Bombyx mori: one gene and its partner. The protein of the gene in region 2 purifies or fractionates together with the protein of the main gene of each other region. This does not show direct contact. Links are inferred from orthologs where the notes say so. Each region holds a gene or a part of one and is shown on either strand. Other genes may lie near its edges.

Region 1 (4,217 bases), on a different chromosome or scaffold from region 2:
CTGCAAAGTTATTTGATTAGCCCCATTAACTTAACACTTGTTTGCCAGATATATCATTGTACATTACATTTTAATAAAGCTCACCTTATGCTTACTGCCATTGGTGTGCTGACTGAATATAGGATTCACAATGAACCTTCTATAACCAACTTGGAATATAAGTCTTTCCTTGCTCTTGATAGGTTCATTGCAGGCACCAGTGCGTTTTAATACTACATTCATCAGAGACATTTTGTGTTCGTGTGGTAAAAGTCCGAAAACAGCCAACGGAGCATTCGGATTTGCTGTACTAAAGGCTTTCCATAAATCTTGATGAACACCTTTTACATGTATTCTTATATAAAAGCCATACTGTAATAAAATGTTTGGTTTTGTATTAAATCAATACCATACATAAATTAAACTGTTAACGAACACAACATGAATATTGAAAAAAAAAAAGTTTTCTATACTCTACTTACCATATTAACTAAACTGTCTTCGAGTTCCTTAAAAACCCTCTTCCTGGTGCGCTCATAGTTTTCAAACTGAAATATTCTAGAATAATCCTGAGGCAAATTTTCCTTTACATCCCATGCTGATGTCCTGAAAGACTCTAGTCCTCTGTATCTCATAAAACGCTCTCTAGCTGGGATATCTTGCGGGGTATCAACTTCATCAGGGAATTGCTGATCTTCTTTTGCAGCTGCTAACTTCTGCAACATCTCATGTTCTTCCTGAGTGTCTATTGTGGCATCATACTTCTCATCTGTGGGTCCAACCTCTGATTCGGTAACAGATTCAATATCATTGAACTGTTTATCGTCCTCTGGATCAGAATTATCATCTTCACAAGACATAAACTCATCGTTTTCTTTCTCATCTCCACTATCAGACTCATCACCATCTTCCTCGGCATCAGATTCGACAATCCAAGCAGCTTGGTAATCAGACCAACCTTTGGGTACTTTCTTGATTTTTTTCTTTTGTGTCTGTAAACAGTTTAGACAATTTTGTAATTATTTATTTGCATTACATGCGGTAGGCAGCGGCTTGGCTCTGCCCCTGGCATTGCTGAAGTCCATGGGCGACGGTAACCACTCACCATCAGGTGGGCCGTATGCCCGTCTGCCTACAAAGGCAATAAAAAAAAAAAATCAATGCTTTATGTTTTGAATCAAGATGTACTACTCTCCAGCAAAATATACTTGACAATATTTTTACAATTATTTTTACATTACCTCTAAATTAGCTTGTTCAATTTCTTCTTCAGTTGGCCAGGTCTGCTCTGCATCCATAGGGTCTGGCACATTCTCTGATTGAAGACTCTCTTGCTTCGCAGGATCAGCTACTGCGAGAACTGACATTTTTGTGACTTCAGCATACATACCATCATCATTAGTATTTTCTTTCCCCAAATGAAATGGGTGGGGGTCCTCAAAACCCTCTATTCTAGTCATTTGAAAGTCACCAAGTCCAGTAATATGAACAAGTCCATTGACATTAAGTGCCATTCCTCGTAAATACCCTGATACTCTTAAAGTACCACTGTTACCTTCTAAATCGGGTACATATTCAACTTCCTCAGCCAGCATATAAGGTCTTTTCTCTCTATGATGTATTATGTTACGTTTCTGATTTCCTATTTTCCTTAACAAGTTCAAACCATCTGATTTTTTATCTAATTGCATTACCTTTTCTTCTGGAAGCCATTTTGAGACCAATTTCTGAACATTCTGTTTTTCTGTAGTGCGTTTCTTTGGGTGGACTCCCTCTATATCCATTGCTACTACTACAGGGGTAGGCATTCCTTGGGCCATAGAGAGTGCTAAAACTTTTTCTCCCCATTCATCAACTGGTTCCTCTAAAGCTGAGCTTACATAGAGGGCAGTGTCAGCTATTTTTAAAACATCAAGAAGTGCAAAGTCGTCACCTACTTCAGGACAAATAAACGAAAACCGCTGTTTGAAATTTGGCAACCTAGAATGATAAATAATTATTTTCAGCAAAATTACTGTCAATTTTGAGGTCTAGCTTTATGTTCATAGTACAAACATAAACATACCCGATGTGTACAATTCCGTTTTCAGACTCGTTTACGACAGCCCCATCAGAACAGGTCTTCAGAATGGCGAGTGCCGATCCTACATCGAGTTGCGCATTAAGCGGAACGACACAAACTAGAAACGGCGGATTCCTAGTGCCTCCTAAAGCACGTTTCGTAGCTAGAACCTCTTCCCTTTTATTTTTGCGAATTTGTGAAGCCTGATGACGGCGATCGTCTTTTCTAAGCTCACGACGATTACGTCGAACAATTTCTTTCAAGTTGACTTTTCCTGAAACACAGCTTTAGGTAAATAAAGTTATAATAGCGATTTTATAGGTTTAGTGAAAACATCCTAACCTTTTACAGCAGCGGCGATACCTCGTTTTGAGCGATGGCGTGATTTATGAGTTTTATTGCTCTGCTTGAAATGGCCGGGACGATGTGGTTGTTGCATTTTGACTGTTTTTCAAAACTTAAATGCAAGCTAGCTGATTTCAATTTGAATTTATTTACTAATAAAAAAAGCACATGTTGACAATCTTTTTGATAAGGTACTTTATGACTTGGTAACTAATACCTTTAAGTCACGTCTCCTATTTTTAAGAAAAATGATAAAATGGCGTGAAATCAAGATGATTAATTTGAGACATTAATCGACTGACATGAAATGAAATGAAATGAGATGAGATGATATGGGATGAAATATAATCTCAGTGTAATGTAATCATTTACTGAGATTTTTTCAGTGAACTTTTTGGAGGATACCAAGAAGTTACGTCCAGCAACTTTATACACTTTCACAGATATTAAACAGTTATTAAACCACCGTTATTATGTGTATAACACATGTAAACCTGAAGAAACATTAAATTGACAAAATAAAACAAACCACACAACTTCACTCCTCGCGTTCCCGCCAAAAAGTCCCAATCTGGTCATAGATAATATACCAGTCATAGATAATACAAAACCAGTCTTACATCCGTTTTTTTTCCTTTTCGTTCATTGACAAGGCAAAAGAAAAATAATTTAATTAATAATTAATTTTGTAATAAAGGTTAAAGCCATGTCTTTTCCATGAAATTTAAAAAAAATGACTGGAAAAGGAATTACATATTTAAATTAATTTAAAACAGTTTTAGGCAGCGGTGCATTTCAGTTTAATTAGGGACCTTTTGACTTAATTTTAGGACGCTTATTATTTAAGCGATTTCATTTTCTCAGTTTAGAATTTCTTCCTCTTTATACAGTTTTTAATGGTTACAAGTTATTAGGTAATCATATAATTTTAGCAAAAGTCTCTTAAGCAGGGAAATGAAACAAAATTGCTGAACGTGGCTTTCCGCCAGTTTAAAAAACATATATATTTTTTTTATTTAACTATTGTTATTGTCTATTCATTTGTACACGATCCTGTTTTATAGCGTGATTTCTGGAACTATAAACTATTTCTGGTTCAAAAACGGCAGTTTCAGAAGATGTCGAATTTTGAGGTCGTCGTGCCCTAAAGGATAAGACGTCCGGTGCATTCGGATCTAGTGATGCATCGATGTTAGAATCCCGCAGGCGGGTACCAATTTTTCTGATGAAATACGTACTTAACAATTGTTCACGATTGACTTCCACGGTGAAGAAATAACATCGTGTATAAAAATCAAACCCGCAAAATTATAATTTGCGTAATTACTGGTGGTACTTACTGGTGGACCTCTTGTGAGTCCTCACAGGTAGGTACCACCGCCCTTCCTATTTCTGCCGTAAAGCAGTAATGCGTTTCGGTTTGAAGGGTGGGGCAGCCGTTGTAACTATACTGAGATCTTAGAACTTATATCTCAAGGTGGGTGGCGCATTTACGTTGTAGATGTCTATGGGCTCCAGTAACCATTTAATATCAGGTAAAGTCGTCCACCCATCTAAGCAATAAAAAAAGAATGGATTTGTTAGTGATGAATCTTGTTGTTGAAATCTTGCTGAGTTTTCTAGAGAGCTTTCATATGCATAAACCATTTATTTTGTTCTCCCCCTTTATTGAGTTTGTCCTACAGGTCAGAATTACTTACATACGAACAAGGACTGCAGAATATAAAATATTTAATCCATGAAATTAAATTTCACTGTAAAAAGGCTGTTTTAATTTATTCAAAGTAATTAAAAGTATAATAAGTATCAAAGTACCATTAAAACATTGTGT
Region 2 (4,356 bases):
AGATCTCTGTATACGTTGAGGACGTTTAATTGTAGGCATATGGTATTTTTATGACGAAATTAATGTTATAAACTAATATTAAAAAGTCACTGTTTTATCAGCTGGCTTGGACCTTAGGGTCCTTAGGTGTATTATTTATAGATCTGTGACTGTCACTATGTTAACACAGATAACAAATATGCTGTCACTGTCTTGCTTAATCTATTTCTAAAGTCGAAGGTTTTTTTGCAATGTGATGACATTCCGTAAAATTTCTTAATTTTTCACTTAATTGCATCTGTTAAACACGGTCTACACAAATAAATATGACTTTTTGGCGGGAACGCGAGGAGTGAAGTTATGCGATTTGTTTTATTTTGTCTATTTAGTGTTTCTTCACGTTTAAATGTGTAATAACGGTGGTTTATTAACTATTTAATATCTGTGAAAGTGAAGTGATAATATAGTATGAAATAAAAATTTTTGATAAATTTTATGACCTGGCAACTAAGACTTTTAAGTCATGTCTTTTAATTTAATTTATTTTCTTATTTTTATGAAAAATTATAATATGGAGTGAAATGAAATTTAATGAAAGAAAATTATTAACTTGAGACACTAATAAACTGGGATGAAATTAAATGAAATGAAATGAGATGATATTATATGGAATGAAATATAATCTCAATAAAATGTTGGTCATTTACTGAAAGTTTCCAATGGACTTTTTGGAAAATCCCGAGAAGTAACTTTCAGCAACTTTGTTTCATTTTCCCACATTGGTGCACTTTCACAGATACTAAATAGTTAATAAACCACCGTTATTACACATTTAAAGCTGAAGAAACACTAATTAGACAAAAAAAAACAAAATCACACAACTACACTCCTCGCGTTCCCGCCAAAAGTCTCGTATGTTTTTTTTAGGGATTTTATAACTTGGTAACTAAGACCTTTAAGTCATGTCTTATTTTAATTTATTTTCTTATTTTTATGAAAAATGATAATATGGAGTGTAATGAAATGAAATGAAGATGATTAATTTGAGATATTAATCAACTGTTATGAAATTAAATGAAATGAGATGATATGGGATGAAACATAATCTCAGTAAAGTGGTGGTTATTTATTGAGATTTTTTTCAGTGGGCTTTTTGGAGGATCCCGATAAGTTATGTCTAGTGGCTTTGTTTCATTTTCCCACATTTGTGCACTTTCACAGATATTAAACAGTTAATAAACCACCGTTATTACACATTTAAACCTGAAGAAACACTAAATAGACAAAATGTGGCAAAATGAAACAAAGCCGCTGGACATAACTTATCGGGATCCTCCAAAAAGTCCTCTGAAAAAATCTTAGTAAATGACCACCATTTTACTAATATCATATCATTTCATTTAATTTCATCCCAGTTGATTAATGTCTCAAATTAAACATTTTCTTTCATTTAATTTAATTTCACTCCATATTATCATTTTGCTTAAAAATAAAATATAAATTAAAATGAGATACGACTTAAAGGTCTTTGTTACCAGGTCATAAAATACCTTTAAAAAAAATAAAAAAAATAACACATGTTCTTGTTTTCGTTCAGTGGATTATACACATGATATTATTGCTTAAACATTACATATAACTGTGCAATACAAAAATGGTAATTATAATACACTAACAAAAAAAAGATAAATATGAAATACGACTAGAGTTTTTACCTCAAAATCTGAGTATTCAAATTAACCTTTTCAAAACTAGAAAAACGATCTTTGGAGATTCACTTTTATATTTTATAACAACTTTTCAAATAGCGAGTCTTAGAGACAAAATAGAAATAAATGTAAAACCTTACCTTGTTCCAGCCTAAAACAAAAAAGAAATTCATAGATAAAAAGAAAGCGGTGACGTTTAACCTAGTACACAGATCTCAAAGAGATCCTCTGGCCGCCGACGAAACAGCCCCGCAGCGAGTATTAGTGCCCGTAAACACAATCATCCCACCTACAAAGGATAAAGATACAGTAAGTAAAAATACTCTCCAACTACAAGCTATCTGTTACACACTACAATAGAAGCCATGTATCCTTACTTCCTATCCTTACTTTCCAATCCTCGCCATTTTTGAAAAAGGTAGCTTACTTAATTCTCCCATCACTGAGAATGGAAGTTTTCTAACACCTTACTGACTTGTGTAAAGATAATATTATTTTCGCAAGAAGTACTATGCAGAAGCTAGAGATTTGTATTATAGTTTGTATTTTGTCAAAGTTCATACCTATATTGTTAAGAATGGGTTTCTGTTTACAAGAAGTGTGGCTATGGTAGTTTTCCTATTACAGCACAAGAGAGCATTATGCGGCATAATGCTCAACATTGAATGTTCCCACTACAGCAATGCTTCGCACAATCGAGCACTCTCAAAAGTACTGCTCTCGCGTGATACTCGCAATCGATACCGACTCAGTGACAGAAAAAGGACAAGTGTTTTTTTCTTTAAGTTGGCATTGATCGAAATTTTGTTTATATTATCGTTAGTAATATTATTTAATGTTGAAAAAAATTGTAAGGCTTTCGTTTCGTCGTAGTTTCTTAGAAATAATCAATGTTAATTAAAACTGTGCTAACTTAGCGCACTCTGCTGATGCATTTGAAAACTAATTCACGTTCCAATTAAGCTTCAGCATAATTCGGCATTGTGCGTCACTGAGTCGCATTATGCTCTGTAATTGGAAAACTACCTATTTCCACTCTCAGTTTCATCCACATGGGCGTAGTAAATGAGTCGTATAACTTAAATTTTTGATTTAAATTAAACCCATAAGCTATTAAATTCACTTCCTGAATCAAAGTATTATGGCAGTGATAATCATGTGTGGTCAAGTGGTATATGAAAAAGGACAATGCCCTTCAATGCCCGTTGCTTAGATATATTGAAGAACTCTTTTAAATGATTTTTATTTTATTTTAGGAATACACACCTGAACAACGCAAAGAGGAACAAAGGAAATACGGTATATATTACGACGATGACTACAATTATTTGCAGCATCTCAAAGACACAAAAGAGGTTACACTTGTGTTGCAGCCTGTGAGTTTTTTTTAATTCTTTCTACGTAGTTATGGTTGTTGAACTTGTATGAAGAACTTTTTTCAATAGAAAAACTGTTAACGACTTGCAGGATTTGACCACTGAGTCGCATCACTCCATATATATACACCAAAAGATTTATTCTTTAGTTCATGATAACTTAAAAAAAAAACGAATATCATACAAGATTATTCATTATTAAGAACTATATTTTTATTTGATTTACTTACTGATTGCATGGTTCTCCCAAATATTCAGAATGTAGTTTCAACTGTCTAGTAGCAAGTCGGGATTGGCTTGTATCAATGTAACTCTGTTGATTAACAACACTCAACACGCATTCTTATCTTCTGTACACAACATTAAGTAGAGAAAAATTAAGAAAATAATTGTTTAGTGTGTAATACATAAAGTCAGTCCGTATCGGGTATCCAATGACCTCTTCGTACGGTGCACTGTTATATGTTTCGCATGTTTGCACTAACAATAATTTTTACAATACAGAAAACTCCACATAAGAAGAAGCCAACGGAATCAACAAAAACTGATGAAATCATCGATGAAGATGAAGAGCCGTCCATTCCAGTCACAGAACGTCTGATGCTGCCCAGTTCGGTGTTCGCTTCTGAATTTGAAGAGGATGTTGGTTTACTCAATAAAGCTGCTCCACAGGGTCAGTTTTTTGTTTAATTGATTCGATTACTGAACGGTCGAAGGATCAGTTGAACGGTCTCTTCGTTCTTTTGTCGACAATTTTATCTTATACCTTTAAACGAGCAATTCTTGTATATCTATACTAGCGACCCGCCCTCGCTTCGCTTCGGAAACATTAAAACACACATGAAACCAAAAAAATTAAATATTTTTTTTTTAAAAAAAAGTAGCCTATGTTCATCAGGGACAATGTCGGCTTCTAATGGAAAAATAATTTTTCAAATCGGTCCAGTAGTTTCGGAGCCTATTCGAAACAAACAAACAAACAAATCTTTCCTCTTTATAATATTAGTATAGATATAATCTGAATCTTGGAAACGGCTCCAACGATTTTCATAAAATTTAGTATACAGGGGATTTCAGGGGCAGTAAATCGATCTAGCTACGATTTATTTTCAGAAAATGTTGTTTTTTTCGTGTTTTCAATAATCAGCTTTATCAATAATCAACTTTATGACTCTACCCGACATCTATTGGTGAATAATAATACTATTTTTCTTAATTGAGAGAAACTAACTGCTTTAAAGACACAACAAGATGGCGTTATAAACAAAATTACCGAGTAAAGCTCGGTCATC

Evidence for each region.
Region 1: the proteins of protein LTV1 homolog (region 2) and pre-rRNA-processing protein TSR1 homolog purify together in Homo sapiens (co-immunoprecipitation; 4 studies listed by BioGRID and IntAct, counting the BioPlex papers as one, with this or other methods). This does not show direct contact. The link is inferred for Bombyx mori from reciprocal best matches to the Homo sapiens genes LTV1 and TSR1.

The regions. Positions count from the first base shown.
Region 1 is NC_085128.1:3,653,679-3,657,895, forward strand, and holds the start of pre-rRNA-processing protein TSR1 homolog, read right to left. Parts: upstream 2,950-4,217; 5' UTR 2,916-2,949; intron 2,620-2,915; 5' UTR 2,481-2,619; coding exon 2,384-2,480; intron 2,316-2,383; coding exon 2,045-2,315; intron 1,960-2,044; coding exon 1,221-1,959; intron 972-1,220; coding exon 462-971; intron 352-461; coding exon 85-351; intron 1-84. UniProt on the Homo sapiens protein: Required during maturation of the 40S ribosomal subunit in the nucleolus.
Region 2 is NC_085126.1:10,531,220-10,535,575, reverse strand, and holds the start of protein LTV1 homolog, read left to right. Parts: upstream 1-1,432; 5' UTR 1,433-1,633; coding exon 1,634-1,636; intron 1,637-1,838; coding exon 1,839-1,997; intron 1,998-2,944; coding exon 2,945-3,064; intron 3,065-3,568; coding exon 3,569-3,737; intron 3,738-4,356. UniProt on the Homo sapiens protein: Essential for ribosome biogenesis.